5 linked regions of the Macaca fascicularis genome follow. The protein of the gene in region 1 interacts with the protein of each later gene in a pairwise test. Links are inferred from orthologs where the notes say so. Each region holds a gene or a part of one and is shown in the gene's direction. Other genes may lie near its edges.

Evidence for each region.
Region 2: the proteins of UTP14A (region 1) and APLP1 interact in a two-hybrid assay, tested with the Homo sapiens proteins (2 studies listed by BioGRID and IntAct). The link is inferred for Macaca fascicularis from reciprocal best matches to the Homo sapiens genes UTP14A and APLP1.
Region 3: the proteins of UTP14A (region 1) and GADD45G interact in binary tests that used the Homo sapiens proteins (3 or more experiments, as listed by UniProt). The link is inferred for Macaca fascicularis from reciprocal best matches to the Homo sapiens genes UTP14A and GADD45G.
Region 4: the proteins of UTP14A (region 1) and SMYD1 interact in binary tests that used the Homo sapiens proteins (3 or more experiments, as listed by UniProt). The link is inferred for Macaca fascicularis from reciprocal best matches to the Homo sapiens genes UTP14A and SMYD1.
Region 5: the proteins of UTP14A (region 1) and CEP70 interact in a two-hybrid assay, tested with the Homo sapiens proteins (2 studies listed by BioGRID and IntAct). The two-hybrid records come from large-scale screens. The link is inferred for Macaca fascicularis from reciprocal best matches to the Homo sapiens genes UTP14A and CEP70.

The regions. Positions count from the first base shown.
Region 1 is NC_088395.1:136,191,739-136,195,254, forward strand, and holds part of UTP14A (U3 small nucleolar RNA-associated protein 14 homolog A), read left to right. Parts: intron 1-3,172; coding exon 3,173-3,516. UniProt on the Homo sapiens protein: May be required for ribosome biogenesis.
Region 2 is NC_088393.1:43,098,538-43,102,795, forward strand, and holds the start of APLP1 (amyloid beta precursor like protein 1), read left to right. Parts: upstream 1-1,449; 5' UTR 1,450-1,510; coding exon 1,511-1,657; intron 1,658-2,542; coding exon 2,543-2,686; intron 2,687-3,693; coding exon 3,694-3,826; intron 3,827-4,033; coding exon 4,034-4,146; intron 4,147-4,258. UniProt on the Homo sapiens protein: May play a role in postsynaptic function. The C-terminal gamma-secretase processed fragment, ALID1, activates transcription activation through APBB1 (Fe65) binding. Couples to JIP signal transduction through C-terminal binding.
Region 3 is NC_088389.1:119,949,127-119,952,437, forward strand, and holds GADD45G (growth arrest and DNA damage-inducible protein GADD45 gamma), read left to right. Parts: upstream 1-1,253; 5' UTR 1,254-1,363; coding exon 1,364-1,416; intron 1,417-1,672; coding exon 1,673-1,774; intron 1,775-1,907; coding exon 1,908-2,121; intron 2,122-2,209; coding exon 2,210-2,320; 3' UTR 2,321-2,796; downstream 2,797-3,311. UniProt on the Homo sapiens protein: Involved in the regulation of growth and apoptosis. Mediates activation of stress-responsive MTK1/MEKK4 MAPKKK.
Region 4 is NC_088387.1:22,921,631-22,925,146, reverse strand, and holds part of SMYD1 (histone-lysine N-methyltransferase SMYD1), read left to right. Parts: intron 1-96; coding exon 97-273; intron 274-3,514; coding exon 3,515-3,516. UniProt on the Homo sapiens protein: Methylates histone H3 at 'Lys-4' (H3K4me), seems able to perform both mono-, di-, and trimethylation. Acts as a transcriptional repressor. Essential for cardiomyocyte differentiation and cardiac morphogenesis.
Region 5 is NC_088376.1:41,346,271-41,349,786, reverse strand, and holds part of CEP70 (centrosomal protein of 70 kDa), read left to right. Parts: intron 1-109; coding exon 110-215; intron 216-3,193; coding exon 3,194-3,364; intron 3,365-3,516.

The DNA.
Region 1 (3,516 bases):
CTAAAAAGCTTGCCTAGGAAAACTACCTACATTGAGAAATCACTTGGCTATCTGGACAAATTACCAGGTCTGGTTTGGTTCCACATAGGAATGCATTTAGATGACGGCAAAAATCTGGTTTTACATGGCAAAAAAAAATTATTTTTTTTCTACTTTTTTTTTTGTTTAAGAGACAGGGTTTTGCTCTGTCATCCAGGCTGGAGTACAGTAGTACAATCATACCTTACTGCAGCCTAAGACCTCCCAGGCTCAAGCGATCCTCTTGGCTCAGCCTCCCAACTAGCTGGGACTACATGTATGTGCCACCATGCTGAGCTACGTTTTTGTAGAGACTGAGGTCTTGCTCTGTTGCCCAGGCTGGTCTTGAATTCCTGGCCTCAAGCTATCCTCTCACCTCAGCCTCCCAAAGTGTTAGGATTACAAGTGTGAGCCACCGCACCCAGACTCCTTTTTTTTTTTTCCTTTGTTTTTTTCAGGTTTCCACATACAAAAATTTATTTTAAAAGAGCTATAATTTAGAATGTATTGTGGTGACCTTTACTTAATAGTTTTGGCTGGATATTTCTGGGATTAATAATTGCAAGCAGTCACTTCTGAGAGAATTTTGGAAAGCAGCACAGTGGGCTGAGATTGTTGGGGTGTCCATATATGGCCACAGGACCCTAGTGGCTTTCTCTTAAGCCCCCTCAACAACTGACCATCTATCTAAATGTGCAGAGCGGCTGACTGTGATATGAAAGGATGAAAGACAGATTTGCATTTCTTTAGACAGTAAATAAATCAAATTTTCTCAGACCTTCCAAGAGTGTCCTAAAATACTGGAAAGTCACGGACCCCAATGAAAATGAACAAGGAAACCTGATTCTTGAGAAATAAACATCCATGTGTCCAAAGGCCAGATCTAAGGAGCTACAATGGCTTCATGCCAAAGCTAGAGAGCAGGATCAACTTGGGAATGGTGGCAACTTGAGTCAATGAAAAAGCCAGTTTAGAACCATGTCACTGCCAGGTTTCCCTCCAGACTCTTTTTTTTTTGAGACAGGTGTCTGTCATCCAGGCTGAAGTGCAGTGGTGCAACCTTGGCTCACTGCAAGCTCCACCTCCCAGGTTCAAGCAATCCTCCTGCCTCAGCCCGCAAGTAGCTGGGATTACAGGCATGCGCTACCACGCCCAGCTAATTTTTGTATTTTTAGTAGAGACGGGGTTTCACCATGTTGGTCAGGCTGGTCTCAAACTCCTGGCTTCAAGTGATTCACCCACCTCAGCCTCCCAAAGTGCTGGGATTACAGGTGTGAGCCACTGTGCCCAGCCAGCCCCTCCAGACTCTTAAGACTAGTGTTATTTGCTCAGATGTTGCCAGTGGAAGTGTGAGCTACATCCACTGGATAAAGCCGCTACTTCATCCCTTGACTCAGCAACAGCAGATTATGAAATACTGCTTTAAGATACGGAGTAGAAATTCTTGAGTCAAGATGAAAATCCTGGCCGGGTGCGGTAGCTCACACCTGTAATCCCAGCACTTTGGGAGGTCGAGATGGGTGGATCACGAGATCAGGAGATCGAGACCATCCTGGCTAACACGGTGAAACCCCGTCTCTACTAAAACTACAAAACATTAGCCGGGCACGGTGGCGGGCACCTGTGGTCCCAGCTACTCAGGAGGCTGAGGCAGGAGAATGACGTGAATGCAGGAGGCGGAGCTTGCAGTGAGCCGAGATTGCACCACTGCACTCCAGCCTGGGCGACAGAGCGAGACTCCGTCTCAAAAAAAAAAAAAAAAAAAAAAAAAGATGAAAATCCTGGATAAGGTTTTTATAAGCAGTAAAGCATAAATTACAATGAAGTTGCATTCAGAAGCCACCTGTTAAAGTGGCTTCCTTTTTTAAAATTTGGAACTTGGGGCAATCTTCCCAAGTGGGGTTTACTGCACGAGGAACTTAAGCCACAGTCCCAGTCATACAGTGGATCATTGGCAAAGCTGGGAATAGGACCCAGGACGTCTGCTTTCCAACATGCTACTTTTCTTTTTTTTTTTTGAGACAGGTCTTGCCCTGTTTGCCCAGGCTAGTATGCAGCGGCACAGTCACAGCTCCCTGCAGCCTTGACTTTCTGGCTCCAGCGATCCTCCCAGCTTAGCCTCCCAAGTAGCTGGAACTACAGATGCACACTGCCATGCCTGGAAATGTTTTGTTGTTGGGGGAGTGGAGGTGGTAGAGATGAGTTCTCACTATGTTGCTTAGGCTGGTCTCGAACTCCTGGGCTCAAGCAGTCCTCCCCACTTGGCCTCCCAAAGTGCTGGCATTACAGGCGTGAGCCACCATATCCAACATCGCACATGCTCCGTTTTTTTTTTTTTTTTTTTTTTTTTTTTTTGAGACAGAGTCTTGCTCTGTCACCCAGGCTGGAGTGCAGTGGCGCAATCTCAGTTCACTGCAACCTCCGCCTACCTGGTTCAAGTGATTCTCCTGCCTCAGCCTCCCAAGTAGCTAGACTACAGGCACATGCCACCATGCCTGGATAATTTTTTGTATTTTTAGTAGAGACAGGGTTTCACCGTGTTAGCCAGGTCTCGATCTCCTGACCTCACGATCTGCCCGCCTCGGCTTCCCAAAGTGCTGGGATTACAGGCATGAGCCACCGCGCCTGGCCACATGCTACTTTTAATTACCAAACTCCGTTGCCTGCTATGATTAGTGTACTCTCTAGGAGATTCAATGTACAGAATCTTCTTTTCCCTGTTTGTCCTCGTTAGAATGTCTTATGTGGTACCTAGCACTTGGTGGGTGCTCAACAAATGCTTACCAACCAGACAACGTACATACCTCCTTTTCCTGACACAGCTTTCTTTTTTTTTTTTTTTTTTTTTTTTTTGAGACGGAGTCTCGCTCTGTTGCCCAGGCTGGAGTGCAGTGGCGCGATCTCGGCTCACTGCAAGCTCCGCCTCCCAGGTTTATGCCATTCTCCTGCCTCAGCCTCCTGAGTAGCAGGGACTACAGGCGCCCGCCACCATGCCCAGCTAATTTTTTGTATTTTTAGTAGAGACAGGGTTTCACCGTGGTCTCGATCTCCTGACCTTGTGATCTGCCTGCCTCGGCCTCCCAAAGTGCTGGGATTACAGGCGTGAGCCACCGCACCCGGCCTTTTCTGACAGCTTTCATTCTTTTTCCCCCAGATTCCAGCAGCCAGGAAGTGCTGTCTGAATTGAGAGTACTATCTCAGAAATTGAAGGAAAATGATCAGTCCAGGAAGCAAAAAGCAAGTTCAGAGGGGACTATTCCCCAGGTCCAGAGAGAGGAACCTGCCACAGAAGAAGAGGAGCCCCTGTTGCTACAGAGGCCAGAGAGAGTACAGACGCTGGAAGAACTAGAAGAGCTGGGAAAAGAAGAATGTTTTCAAAATAAGGAGCTTTCCAGACCTGTGTTAGAAGGGCAGCAGTCAGAGAGGACCCCAAATAATCGCCCTGATGCCCCTAAGAAGAAAAAGAAGGAGCAAATGATCGACCTACAGAACCTCCTA
Region 2 (4,258 bases), on another chromosome or scaffold:
AAGTCAAAGAGGCAAGTGTGTCTTAGGGAGTCTACTGGCATTATTACCCTCCATCAAGGAAGGGGTCCATTAGACCTGTCCCAAGGTCTCTCCTCTACCCTAGCCTATAAGGTGGCTGTAGAAGCAAAACTGTGAGCCACCTCTCAGCCTCTTGCTACCTGCAAAGCACTCTAGACTCTTTATTTATTTATTTTTTCTTGAGACAAGGTCTGGCTCTATGGCCCAGGCTGGAGTGCAGTGGCACCATCTCAGCTCACTGCTACATCTGCATCCTGGGCTCAAGCCATCCTTCCACCTCAGCCTCCCAAGTAGCTGGGACTACAGGTGCACACCACCACACCCAGCTAATTTTTGTATTTGTTTGTAGAGACAGGATTTCATCCTGTTGGCCAGGCTGGTCTCAAACTCCTGACCTCAAGTGATACGCCTACCTAGGCCTCCCAAAGTGCTGGTATTACAGGCGTGAGCCACTGTGCCCAGTCATGGACTCTTTTAATATACATCTTCATACACACACGCACACACACACACACACACACACGAGTTGCAAACAGAAAAGACACACACATTGGCATGTATGCACAGACACACGCATAGATGTCCACACAGTTGCACACATGTGACAGGGCTGCCCCAGGGGTCCTGGGAAAGACAGAGTTCTACACTCTCATTAGAGGAGACAAACGAGTGAGCCCTGAAGTGGGACAGAGAAGGAGACTATGGGCATGAAAATGGCAATCCCCTGGTCCTTACAGCAAGGGTGGAGATCCAGACCCTAATCCTGGGGCGCTGCATCCACAGTGGGCATGGTGCTGGTGCCTGCTTGGGTGATCCTTAAAGAAAGGTCCCGGGGGCTTTGGTTCATGGATCCTTGAGCTAGGAGTTAAAGATCCAGGCCCCTGGGACCCTTGGGAAGCAGAGCAGGAAGACTGAACTGGTTCTGAGGGAGAATGGGCTGGGGGCTTGGTCTCTGGTCCTGAGAGAGAAGGTGCCCAGACTTCTGGATCTGAAAGAGGAGGGGACTGGGTCTCAACTGCTGCCATCTTGACGGGACATTTTGGAGGCCTGTATTCCTGAGCCCTCAATAGAGGAATTTACTAGGGGACGGGGGTCTCTGATGCTTGCATCCTTGGAGAAGGACAAAACTGTGAGTGTCTGGGTCTAAAGAGGGTGAGAGTCCTGCGGGAGGACTCAAAATCCACAACGGGCTGAGCCCATAGCAGGACTCCTGGCTGGGCCCTTCATGGGGCGGGACGCCTGGAATCTCCAGGGGCGGGGGCCTGGCGCAGGCTCCCGCCCGGGGTTCCCGAGCTGCTCCACTCTGCGCGGAGCCGCCACGCTATTGTCCTAGCCAGGAAGGCGGGGCCGGCGCGGGGCGTGGCTGGCGGCGCCGGCGCAGCCCGGGGGCGGCGGGAGGAGGAGGTGGCGGCGGTGGCGCTGGGAGCTCCTGTCACCGCTGGGGCCGGGCCGGGCGGGAGTGCAGGGGACGTGAGGGCTCAAGGGCCGGGACATGGGGCCAGCCAGCCCCGCTGCTCGCGGTCTAAGTCGCCGCCCGGGCCAGCCGCCGCTGCCGCTGCTGCTGCCACTATTGCTGCTGCTTCTGCGCGCGCAGCCCGCCATCGGGAGCCTGGCCGGTGGGAGCCCCGGCGCGGCCGAGGTGAGGCCGGGCCGGGTCCTGGGGGATGGGGGAAGGGGCGGGACCGGGTCTTTGGACGCCAGCGCGGACATGTACAGGACAGAAAGCGCGGTCTTTCCAGCCAGGTGGTCAGCCCCCAGGCGCCCCCAACCGCATTTATGAACCCAGGGTTCCAGGCCCCAGCTCCCCCATCCTCCGACGTCCCAGCCCCCTCCCACCCCGAGCATAGGAACTGGTCTATTCAGAGCCCCTGGTCCCAGAAGTCCAGCCCCCTCTCCAGACCCAGGTGACTAGGTCCCAACCCCCTCCCTCCTGGACATAGGACCCACCAAGCAGCGAGGCACTTAGATCCAATAATCCAGACCCCTTGTATTCTCTGGACCCATATGGAGGCCCTTGCAGCCTCCTAGGACCCAGGAGTCCGGTCCTTCAGTCACCACCCACCCCAACCAGATGTAGCTCTCCAGTCCTCAAGGACCTGGTGTCCAGGACTGTAGGCCCCTGAAGCCAGGCCTTATCAGCTTTGCACCCTGCAACCGGAGCCTGAGCAAGGGATGGAGGGAGGAGGGGCCAGAACGCCTGGGTTCAGGCCTCCTCCGCGATTCAGGTTTAACCCCTTCGGGCTCCAGAGCGGCTGAGCTGGGGTCGGGGCGGAGTCTGTCTCCGCGGCAACAAGGCAGAAAGAATCCCGGGGGACCCGGGTCGCCATAGCAACGGGAGAGCTAGGGCGCCCCCGCCCTACGGGAGCTGTTTCCCAGGGAACGGTGCCTCCATGGAGGCGGTGTGCACAACGGTGCTTGGGGGAGGGGGCTGGTGCTGGGGGTCTCGGTCCTAGGGAGCAAAGAACCAGGGGACCCTCATGCCAACGCCCCCCGGGCCCTCATTATCCCCTCCACTTCCATCCAGGCCCAGGGGTCGGCCCAGGTGGCTGGACTATGCGGGCGCCTAACCCTTCACCGGGACCTGCGCACCGGCCGCTGGGAACCAGACCCACAGCGCTCTCGACGCTGTCTCCGGGACCCGCAGCGCGTGCTGGAGTACTGCAGACAGGTGGGCGGGGCCGAGCGGGAGGGGCGGGGCCAGCGGGAAAGCGGGCCCCAAACGAGGCGGGGCCGCCCGTAGAAAGCTACACTTGAAAAAGGCGTGGTCCAAGGTGCCGCGGGATCTAAGACGTGGAAGCTAGCAGACGTGGCCAATAAAGAGGTGCAACTATGCTAGGGCAGGGGACCTGTTTTGAAATACTAAGTCAGGAAAGGGGGAGAACCGCGAGATAGCCAGAGAAGAAGTGGAATTTAGGAATCTGGTGGTCTTTGTAAAAAGCAGAGGTGTAGTGGGGAGTGGCGAAAGGATAGGCGGGGCTAAGACAGAAAGAGACCTTAAGGACCAGCGAGATGGGGAAAGGGGTGGAGCCCAATGAAAGCGCGGAGAGCTGGGGGGCGTGGCCACGAAAAGACAAGTCTGTAATGGGAAGGGAGAGCTTTGGAGAGGCGAAATAGAGGAAAAGGCAGGGCTAAAAGGAGGGTGAGACCTTTGGGGAGACGAATCTGACTGCGGGGAGGGGTGACCAGAGAGGTGGGCTTAGAGGGACCTTCAGAAAGAAACAGCACAGGAAAAAAGATAGCCTTGAAAACGGACCTGGCCGGGCGCAGTGGCTCACGCCTGTCATCGCAGCACTTGGGGAGGCGGAGGCGGACGGATCACCTGAGGTCAGAAGTTCGAGACCAGCCTGGCCAACATGGCGAAACCCTGTCTTTACTAAAAATACAAAAATTAGCCGGGCATGGTGGTGCGTGCCTGTAATCCCAACTACTCGGGAGGCTGAGACAGGAGAATAGCTTGAACCTGGGAGGAGGAAGTTGCAGTGAGCCGAGATTGTACCATTGCACTCCAGCCTGGGCGACAAGAGCAAATCTCCGAAAGAGAGAAAGAGAGAAAGACAGAGAGAGAGAGAGAGAAAGGAGGGAGGGAGGGAGGGAAGAAAGGGGACCTGACTACTGGAAAGGGGTGGCTGGCAGAGGCGGGGCTGTGGGCTGATTGCCCCCATTTAACCCCCCCAGATGTACCCGGAGCTGCAGATCGCACGTGTAGAGCAGGCTACCCAGGCCATCCCCATGGAGCGCTGGTGCGGGGGTGCCCGGAGCGGCAGCTGCACCCACCCCCACCACCAGGTTGTGCCCTTCCGCTGCCTGCGTGAGTCCCAGGCGGGGAGAGGGGAACTGAGGTGGGAGTTTCCGAGGGGCAAAATTCTGAGCCCCTCTCTCGGGCCCACATTAAGGGGGTGGGTGCTTGTGTCCTAAGTGGGTCAGAGAAGCCTCTGAGGATAAAATATCTGGATTCTGAGGAGGGTGGGGTTGGTGCTGTAGGAGGGTCTCACCCTGGTGTCCCGTGCTTCCCCAGCTGGTGAATTTGTGAGTGAGGCCCTGCTGGTGCCTGAAGGCTGCCGGTTCTTGCACCAGGAGCGCATGGACCAATGCGAGAGTTCAACCCGGAGGCATCAGGAGGCACAGGAGGTCAGGACCTTGGCCCACCCGTCCCCAGCCCCCAGAACCCAGGAACCAGGACCCCAACACCCTCCTCCACCAGAACCGAGGGTCTGGGCCACCAGTATCCTCTTCCCACTTG
Region 3 (3,311 bases), on another chromosome or scaffold:
AGTGGGCCCGGCCGGACAGCTCCGTGGCCGACCCCCTCCACCGCCCTTCCCCCGCACCAGGCCAATGCAAGGGTGTGTGTGTTGGGGGAGGGGAGGAGAAAAGGGATTCAGGATCTTTTTAACCTGCCTGTAGATGGCGCCCCGGGAAACAGATACCGAACTACATCCCCTAAGCTCCAAGGGCCGCAGCCGCGGGGTCCCGGCCAGAGGGCGTCCAGTCGCGAAGACTGCGCAGCAGCTCTCTGTGCTTCCCAACTCGCGAGGCTGCTCGGCACCCGTGCGAGGAACGGGTGGAAGGGAATTACATGTAGCAGGGCCAGTACAGGCGGCGCGTACTCAGGGACCACGGAGTGGCACTCAGCCTCGACCCCACGCGCCAGGCAGCCCGGCGACCCCCACGCGCGGCGGGGGCCTGCCCACCCCACCCGGCGGCAGGTGGACAGTGTTGCTATGAAGAGAAAGCCTCGATTGTCCCTACTGCAAACCGCCACACGCCAGACCTCTGCTATTGTGCGCCCTCCATAGAAATGCAAACGAGCGGCGTGCGCCGGCAGCAATCTGCTCGCCCCTGCCCGCCCCCTTCTCCGGCGCCCCGCTGCTCTCGGCCAAGGGCGGGGAGGTGGGGTAGGATCTTCCAGCGACTACTCAATGTACACATTGAGTATGCCTGGCAGGCATTACCAGCGCGCTCCGGACGCTAGTGGTCAGCTGCAGGGGGCTGTGCCCACTGCCTTTTGCAAGCCTTTAACTGGCGTTACCTGTTTTTACCTTAATTTCCTGCTCCAATGCAACAGTCTCATAAACTTCAAATTAAAGAAAAGAAACAAATAGAAAGGTAGCAATAAAAAATGGAAATAAAATTCCTTTTGATTCTATAAAGGTGCTTTTCGCAAATTGCAGCATCATATTAGCAAACAAGGTTTTTGTGGATTGGCTTTTTTTTTTTTTTTTTTTTTTTTTTTACTTTTTCCTTTTAAGGACTTCAAAAAAAAAAAAAAAAAAAAAAAAAAAGAAAGCCAGGCGAGATGAAATCTGCAGGCTCCAGTCTGCCTGGTAACACCCCAACAAAAGCGGCAGATTTGAGGCATTGTCATCCCCCGCACCCCTCCCCACGTGGCCTTCTGGCACGAGCCGCGGGCTCGCGGTCTCATTTACATCAGAAAGCGGGTGCCGGCCAATAGGCGGGCAGCCTCGCGCCAGCTGGCGGCGCCGCACCCATCAGCCTATATAAGGACGCGCAGCGTAGCCCGGGCGCACTCGCTGGTGGTGGGCGCGCCGTGCTGAGCTCTTGGTCTCAGGGTGTTCGCCCGCGTCCCCTCCGCGCTCTCCGCTTGTGGATAACTTGCTGTTGTTTGATCGCACTATGACTCTGGAAGAAGTCCGCGGCCAGGACACAGTTCCGGAAAGCACAGACAGGTGGGTTTCAGGGCGCTGAGAAAGCGGCTGGTCAGTCGGCGACCGTCAGGGTTCTCCAGGGTGGGAATCCGCGGGATAGGAGCCGAGCCCGGGGGTGCGGGCGTCAGATCCGGGTTGGAGAGCCGGGGTGCGGGCGCCAAGCCGGGATTGGAGTGTGGTTGGAGTTGGAGAGCCAAGGGTGAATCCCCGTGGCCGGGGCTCGGGGCTCCACCGCGCCCCACGGCCGTCTCCCGCTCACTAGCTGGCTCCTCCGCAGGATGCAGGGTGCCGGGAAAGCGCTGCACGAGTTGCTGCTGTCCGCGCAGCGTCAGGGCTGCCTCACTGCCGGCGTCTACGAGTCAGCCAAAGTCCTGAACGTGTAAGTGTAGACGCGACCCAGGCTGGGAGACAGGGGCGGGGATGAATGGCGAAGAGACCGGCGGATGGGAGGGGTGGCTGCGGGAGAACTTGGTTTGCCGGTTCTGACCTTGGTCCCCGTCTTGCCCTCGCAGGGACCCCGACAATGTGACCTTCTGCGTGCTGGCTGCCGATGAGGAGGACGAGGGCGACATCGCGCTGCAGATCCATTTTACGCTGATCCAGGCTTTCTGCTGCGAGAACGACATCGACATAGTGCGCGTGGGCGATGTGCAGCGGCTGGCGGCTATCGTGGGCGCCGGCGAGGAGGCGGGCGCGCCGGGCGACCTGCACTGCATCCTCATTTCGGTGAGTACAGCCCCGTCCGGTCCCCGCCCCGGTGTAGTTCCCGCCTCGGCCCGCGGCCAGCCAGGCTGACCCTGCTCTCTCTCAGCAGAACCCCAACGAGGACGCCTGGAAGGATCCCGCCTTGGAGAAGCTCAGCCTGTTTTGCGAGGAGAGCCGCAGCGTTAACGACTGGGTGCCCAGCATCACCCTCCCCGAGTGACAGCCCGGCGGGGACCTTGGTCTGATCGACGTGGTGACGCCCCGGGGCGCCTAGAGCGCGGCTGGCTCTGTGGAGGGGCCCTCCGAGGGTGCCCGAGTGCGGCGTGGAGACTGGCAGGCGGGGGGGGCGCCTGGAGAGTGAGGAGGCGCGGCCTCTCGAGGAGGGGCCCGGCGGCGGCAGGGCCAGGCTGGCCCGAGCTGAGGACTCTGCAAGTGTCTGGAGCGGCTGCTCGCCCAGGAAGGCCTAGGCTAGGACGTTGGCCTCAGGGCCAGGAAGGACAGACTGGCCGGGCAGGCGTGACTCAGCAGCCTGCGCTCGGCAGGAAGGAGCGGCGCCCTGGACTTGGTACAGTTGCAGGAGCGTGAAGGACTTAGCCAACTGCGCTGCTTTTTCAAAACGGATCCGGGCAATGCTTCGTTTTCTAAAGGATGCTGCTGTTGAAGCTTTGAATTTTACAATAAACTTTTTGAAACAAACTTATGCTCTTTATTGAGGGTAGGGGATCTTTGTGTCGGGGGAGGTGGTGCGCAGGGTTTCAGAGGATTGCTGGAACTCCGTGGAACTGATGGCACCTGTTCCGTCTTCCTGTCGGGCAAGAATGACAGGCTCCTCCGCGCTGGCAGAGGGAGGGCATGCTGCCCAGTGCTAGGGTAGAACTTGAGCCTGGCTCCTACTTTTCTCCTTTTAGGAAGATTTTAAACTTGCAAAACAGGAGCATACTTGAGAAAAGACATCAGTGCAGCAGCTGAAGTCTTGCCTTCCAAGGCGATAACAGTGACCTCTGCCTCCCCTCCCCCTCCCTCGGCCCTCCTCCCCCTCCCTCCCACAGCTGCTTATCGGAACAGCTTGCCTGAGGCCGCAGGCTTTCCTGCACAATGAGCATCGCCTTCTGCAGGCCCTGCCCTTTGTGGTCCCTGAGGACGGTGGCAGGCTGCTTCTGCTCTTGGGGACTTTTTCCTCTTAGATGCTCTGACAAAAAGCAATGCTACAA
Region 4 (3,516 bases), on another chromosome or scaffold:
TCAGCTGAACCCAGTACCAGAATGCCGTGTTCCACTGGCTGTATGGTGCCCTTTCCACTGTGCTCCCAATCACGTGTCTTCTCTCTCCATTTCCAGCCTTGTTAATTTTGTGTGCCACACTTGCTTCAAGAGGCAGGAGAAGCTCCATCGCTGTGGGCAGTGCAAGTTTGCCCATTACTGCGACCGCACCTGCCAGAAAGATGCTTGGTTGAACCACAAGAATGAGTGTTCGGCCATCAAGAGATATGGGAAAGTACCCAATGAGAACATCAGGTGAGAGCTGGGCCCCATGGTGGTGCTTCAAATTTCCAAATGTCAGGCTGGAATGGCCTCTGTAACGGCATTCCCAGATCTAAGGAAGCCAAGCTGAGTGCAAGTCAGGAAAGAGCCTCAAAGACTGGATATGGTCACTTCTGTTCATTCCCTTAAGGTCTAACAGGGAGAACTGGCTGTTGACAGCAGTGATTCCAAACTGCAGCCACAGGCTGAAACTGGCTTGCAGACTCCTGCTGTAGGGCTCCCCAGTGTTTAGTTTATTTATGTATTTTGGATACAGGGTCTTGCTCTGTTGCCCAGGATGGAGTGCAGAGGCCCTGATCACAGCTCACTTGACCTCCTAGGCTCAAGTGATCCTCCCACCTCAGCCTCTCGACTAGCTGGGACCACCGGCATGCACCACCACACCTGGTTAATTTTTGTATTTTTTATAGAGATGGTGTTTTGTCATGTTGCCCAGGGTAGCCTCGAACTCCTGAGATCAAGCAATCCACCCGTCTCAGCCTCCCAAAGTGCTGGTATTATAGCCGTGAGCCACCATGCCCAGCCAAGGGGCAAGTGTTTTTAAATTGATCCACCAATGTTTAAAAATTGGGAAATTTCACATTTTAAAATTAGGATTTTTGACTTCTCTTGGAAAACAAAAACAAACAAAAAAAACTGAAGATCTGGCAAAATAGGCTAGAGCTCAGTAGTATCTGCCACCTTTGAAAAAATACAAAGCTTTCTAAGTCACAGCAGCACCACTGCTCCCTGTGGTCATACACGTTACACCAGAGAGTGCATTTGAGTTTGCAACTAACGGCCTTTCCTGGTGGCCATCATCAGAAATCTTAAGGCCAGTAGCTCCAGTGCAAGAGATTCCCAAGTCCTGGAGGCTTGGTGCTGGGCTGCAGGGAGATGCTCAGGAAGCCAGCACTGCAGAGCAAAGGAGATGGAAATGGTGACTGGGAGCATTTTCACTGTGTGCGTAGGGTGTGAAGTTAAGGTACAGAATGGAATTGTCATATCATGATGATTTTTAGGAACCTGCAGGATGAAATGGCTCAGTCAACCTCTCCATGCCCCTTAGCTCCATCTACTGAAACAATACATATGCTTCAAGAACTAAAGTAAATGGCACCTCCTGTGACAGTTATTGAGTTGAAATCTATCACGCATTGACCTCTATTCTCTGAGCTTCATAACCCTTTCCTCATTATTTGGAGGCAGCAGATCTTCCATGTGCTGAGTTGTATTTTCCCCAGTGCTGCCCTGGGCTCCCTGTGAAGACACGTCAGTTTCCAGGCACCTGGAGTCCCACGCGGGGCATTTCTCCAGAAATAACTCAGTGACTCAAATGGGAGAAATCGGGAAAATGAAAAAGGTTCTGGAAACAGATGGTTGGTGATGGTTGCACAACAGTGTGAGTGTGCTTAATGCCATCAAACTGTATACTTTAAAATGGTTAAAATGGTTCAAAAAGAGGTGGGGGACAGAAAGGACCCTGAGGTGATGACACTGTTTAGTATCTTGACTGTGCAGGTGGATACACGAAGCTACATAGGTGATAACATTGTATATAATTAAACACACATACACATTCATGAATATAAGCAAAATGGAAGAAATCTGAATAACAGAGGTGGGATAATATTCTGGCTGTGATGTTAGTTTTCCAGAATGTTACCATTAGAGAAAACTGGGCAAAATGTACAAGGGATCTCTTCGTATTGTTTTCCAACTGCCTGTAAATCTGCAATTATCTCAATTAAAATTTCAATTAAAAAAAAAAAAAAAAACGAGGAGAGGGCCTGTGCTTTGCCCAGCAGGTCTCTCCTCAGGAACAGGATCTGTCCTAGACCACCATCCCCTCCCTAGGTGCCTGAAAAGTGAGCAGTCAGTGGGTGGCAGGAACATTAAAGTGTCCCTGGGTTATAAGCTTCATCACAGGCCACCTAATAGTTAACAAAGAGGCCTTTGGGGTGAAGTACACCCCTCTGTCTCATACTCAAGTCCCTGTGTCTCTACAGGTCTCCTCCTGTCCCACCTGGCCTCCTGCTCTTCCCGCAGAGCCCCGCTCCAGCCAGGCCAGGTCCTGCACGTGGCATGCCCGTGGCTGCCTCGAGGCCTCTCCTCACTGTTTCCCCACCTAGATGGCCTTCTCCACTTTCACGCTACCCAATCATTAAGAATATCAATACCGGCCGGGCGCAGTGGTTCAAGCCTGTAATCCCAGTACTTTGGGAAGCCGAGACCGGCGGATCACGAGGTCAGGAGATCGAGACCATCCTGGTTAACACGGTGAAACCCCGTCTCTACTAAAAAAATACAAAAAACTAGCTGGGTGAAGTTGCAGGCGCCTGTAGTCCCAGCTACTCGGGAGGCTGAGGCAGGAGAATGGCGTAAACCCGGGAGGCGGAGCTTGCAGTGAGCTGAGATCCGGCCACTGCATTCCAGCCTGGGCGACAGAGCGAGACACCGTCTCAAAAAAAAATAATAATAATAATATCAACACCTTCACATATAATGCAGACACCTATTACCTCACTTTGTCTTCTGAATACCTCTGGAGGTTAGCACAGCAGGGAATATTTTCCCTATTTTACTGGCCACCAGATAGATTCAGAGAGGTCAAGTGACTTGCCCAGGTTCACACAGTAAGAAGTGGAAACAGGTCATTAGACTCCTGATGCAAGGCTCATCACAGTAGGCCACAATGTTAAGAGAGACCCAGGCTGCCGCACCTCTCTGTGTCCCCAGACCCCATGGGACCTGGCTCCTGCCCAAACCTCCACCTTTATTTGGTCTCCATTTCTTGCTCCCTGTGCTCCCGCCACCTCTACCTTCCTGCTGTTTCTCCATCAGACCAAGCTCATTCCTTTGTACTCACTGCTCTCTCCCGAAGTGCTCTTTCTCCAGTGTCACAGAGCCAGCTCCTCCACCCCTTCCAATTCCAGCTCAAATGTGCCTCCCCTGTGACACTTCCTTGGAAGACCTTAGCTTCCCCACCCCAGTCACTCTCTATCATGTCACCCTGTATTATTTTTTCTGCATAGCACTTTCTATGTAAAATGTGCTTGTTTACTTACCTCTCCCCCACTATATGAAGCATCACAATAGAATAAATTCCATCTATCTAGTTTAAAACCATATCTTGGGCCCAACATTGTGCCTGGCATGCATGAGACATCCAGTAAATGTGTGTTGAATGAATGAATGCAGCTGTAGTGCCCCCCTGCTGCTGCCCATCCCACAGGC
Region 5 (3,516 bases), on another chromosome or scaffold:
CTGATATAAGGCTGTTGGGAGGGTGACTGGATCATTTACTTAGTTTATCATCTTGGTCCAGTGTCTAGGAAATAATTTTGCATTATCTTGATTTTTTTCTCCCTTTTAGATTACAGGAGCTTATTAGTCCTAAGAAGGCTGAGGACACAGAGAAAAAAGATGAGCCCAGCAAATATAATCAGCAACAGGCCCTAATTGACCAGAGATACTTTCAGGTATTGAATTGATTTTTCATGACAAAAAGACTGATGTTTGTCATAAATCTTGGTTATCAGTTGCAGTGTAATAAATTATCAGTTGGTAAGGAATACTTGCACCTCATATTTATGTGTACTTATTCTGTTTTGTCTTTCTGTGATATAACTAACTGTTTGACTAAAAACATTGTAGACTTCATCTTACTACTTAAAGGAGACTCTGGGCCTAGTTCAAAGCAGGTTAGTAAAGAGCTTTAAGATTTTTAAAAGATTTTATAATCCTTTTCCTTCCTTCCCCCTGTAAGCCATTTTCCCTCTTCTTGTTTCTTTTGTTGCTATTATTATTATATAAGTAAATCTGTTTTCTTAGGGTCCTTGTATGGCTTTGTTTTTGTGTAGAGACCTTAGTTCATCTGAAATTAATTTTCTATATGGTGTGATATAGGGAATCTCACCTTCCTAGTTTTACAGATCATTTATTGAATAGCTGAGCAGTTAAACCTGGTAGTTTAGTGACTGAACTGGACTTTCACTCATATTTTATTGGGTACACATAAGATTTTTAAATTTTAGATTATTCACTTTTTAAAAAATTAAGATATTTTATTTTTTCTAGGCTGCTATTTCTAATTTCTCTTAAAAAGTCAGAAGATCTGGCAACAAATTCCTGCATGGTTATTATCACAGCAGAATTAGGCCTTTCCCTTGTCAGATATGAGCATGTGTTCTGTAGTTAGCCAGTTGCTATTCATCCTTACTTCACTCATTTATACTCGTACCTGGATTCTCTGGGTGTCTTTGTTTGCAGTCTCTAATACGCTACTTTTTTGTCTACTTTATTGAAATAACATTTTATCATAGATCATATTCCTTTATATGCACAGATTTGTTTTTAGATTCTCTAGTCTGTTGCATTTCTCAACTGTTTCCATATATTAATTTCTATAGTTATAAGTTTTAATAGCCCTTGAGGCAAGTATCCTGTCATTTAAAAAAAAATTTTATTGGCTATATTTTTAGCACATTTATTCTTCTGGATGAACAGTTTTCAAATTAAAAACTAAATCCCATTGAGATGAACTAAAACTGAATTGACTTTATGGATTAATATTTGGAGAAATGACACCTTAACCTTTTTGAATCATCACATTCAGAGAAATATGTACTTTCATCAGGGTCATCTTTTATAGTCTTCAATAAAGTGTTGTATATTTTTAAATTTAGCTCTTGCATATTTCTTGTTAGGAAATACCTTGCTATTTCCTAGGTATTTTATAACTTTTATTGCTATTGTAAATGGGAACCAAGCACCTTTCTGAAAACTGTTTTGTTTTAGACTTTCTTGTACCAGTATGTAACTGGATTTCATTTTGTTTCTGAGACTCAATTTGAGAGACTTTGTCCTTTAAAGGGGGAATTCAGGCCGGGTATGGTGGCTCACGCCTGTAATCTTAACACTTTGGGTGACTGAGGCAGGAGGATTGCTAGAGGCCAGGAGTCTGAGATCAGCCTGGGCAATATAGTGAGACCACATCTCTAGAAAAAAAAATTAATTAGTTGGGCATGGTGGCGTGCACCTGTAGTCCTAGCACTTGAGAGGCTGACATGGGAGGATCACTTGAGCCCAGGAATTCAACGCTGCAGTGAGCTCTGTTCGCACCACTGCACTCCATCTTAGGCCACAGAGTGAGACTCTGTCAAATAAATAAATAAAACATATATACATACATCAATCTGAAGTGAAATATTGAATTACACTAATTTGGACTTAAAAAGCTTCTAAATAAACATCTGAAGTAATATAATAAACATATTAAGTCATATTACCAGGAAGCCTATTAGTTATATCTTGAAGTATGACCAGGGACGAAGATTCAGGAGCAAAATGCTATCTTTATATTGTGAAACTTTTTATTAAATAGGCTGAACTTGATGGTGGTAATAGGAAATGGCTTTATTCTTCTCTCTTTAAACATGCTTTTTGGGGGTCTCCCTTTTTATCCTTGGATGATATCTAAGGTAGAACTCATCACTTATGGGGAGAGGGTTATAGTCAAATAGTATACTATCTTAATATATTAAGATATTTAAAATTCAATCCAGGCATCAATGATATTATTTTTGGAGACAGGGTCTTGCTCTGTTGCCCAGGCTGGAATGCATTATCATAGCTCACTGCAGCCCTGAATTCCTGGGCTCAAGTGATCTTCCTGCCTCAACCTGGGATTACAGGCATGAGCCACCATACTAAGCCTGGGGATTACTGTTAATTTCCTTAAATAGTCTGATAATGGTCTTGTGGGTTTGTAGGAGAATATGCCTACTTTTAAAAGATGCACGCTTTATTATTTCAGGGTGCAGAGTTTCTTCAAATGGTTCACCTCAAAATATAGATAGCAAATATGGCACAATACTAACAATTGTTGAACCTAGGTAGTGATTATATGGGTGTTTGTATTAGTTAATTTTGTTTCAACTTTACTGTGGCATAGGATGCCCAATATTTGGTTAAACATTATTCTGGATGTGTGTCTGGGAAGATGCTTCTGGATGAGATTGACATCTGAATCAGTAGACTTAGTGAAGCAAACTGCCTTTCCTAATGGGGTAGGCCTCATCCAATCATTTGAAGGCCTGAGTAGAACAAAAGGCTGAATAAGAGGGAACTCCTCCCCGCTGACTGCTTTCAAGATGGGACACTTTTTTTTCCTGCCTTCAGACTCAAACTGAAACATTCGCACTTGCAGGGGTCTCAGTCTGCCTGTGTTTGGACTGCAAATATCCATTAGCTTTTCTGGGTCTTCACTTACTCACTGCAAATCTTGAGACTTGTCAGTCTTCATAATTGCATGAACCAATTCCTTGTGATAATTCTTTGTATATTTAATGAAATGCATGTATATAATATATATAGACATAAAGCACTCCTTTAAAATATATAACTTTGTAGGCATAGGATAAATATTTTGACTAAATACACTATGTTTTTTTTAAAGGTGCTGTGTAGCATCAATTCAATTATCCACAATCCAAGAGCTCCAGTAATAATTTATAAACAGAGCAAAGGGGGAGCCCAAAATTTTAATAAAGATCTTATTCAAGATTGTGGATTTGAGCATCTTGTTCCTATAATAGAAATGTGGGCAGATCAACTGACATCCTTAAAGGTAAGGGGTTGACTATTCTTTATATGCTTTGAACATCTATTGGACTCTATGTGCTTTATTTATAGGACTTAATTTAGGGCTAGAAATTAAATAGGGTTTAATTTTTTGTTTGTTAACTGTAAAGCTAAAAAAACTTATCTAAAACTGAAATC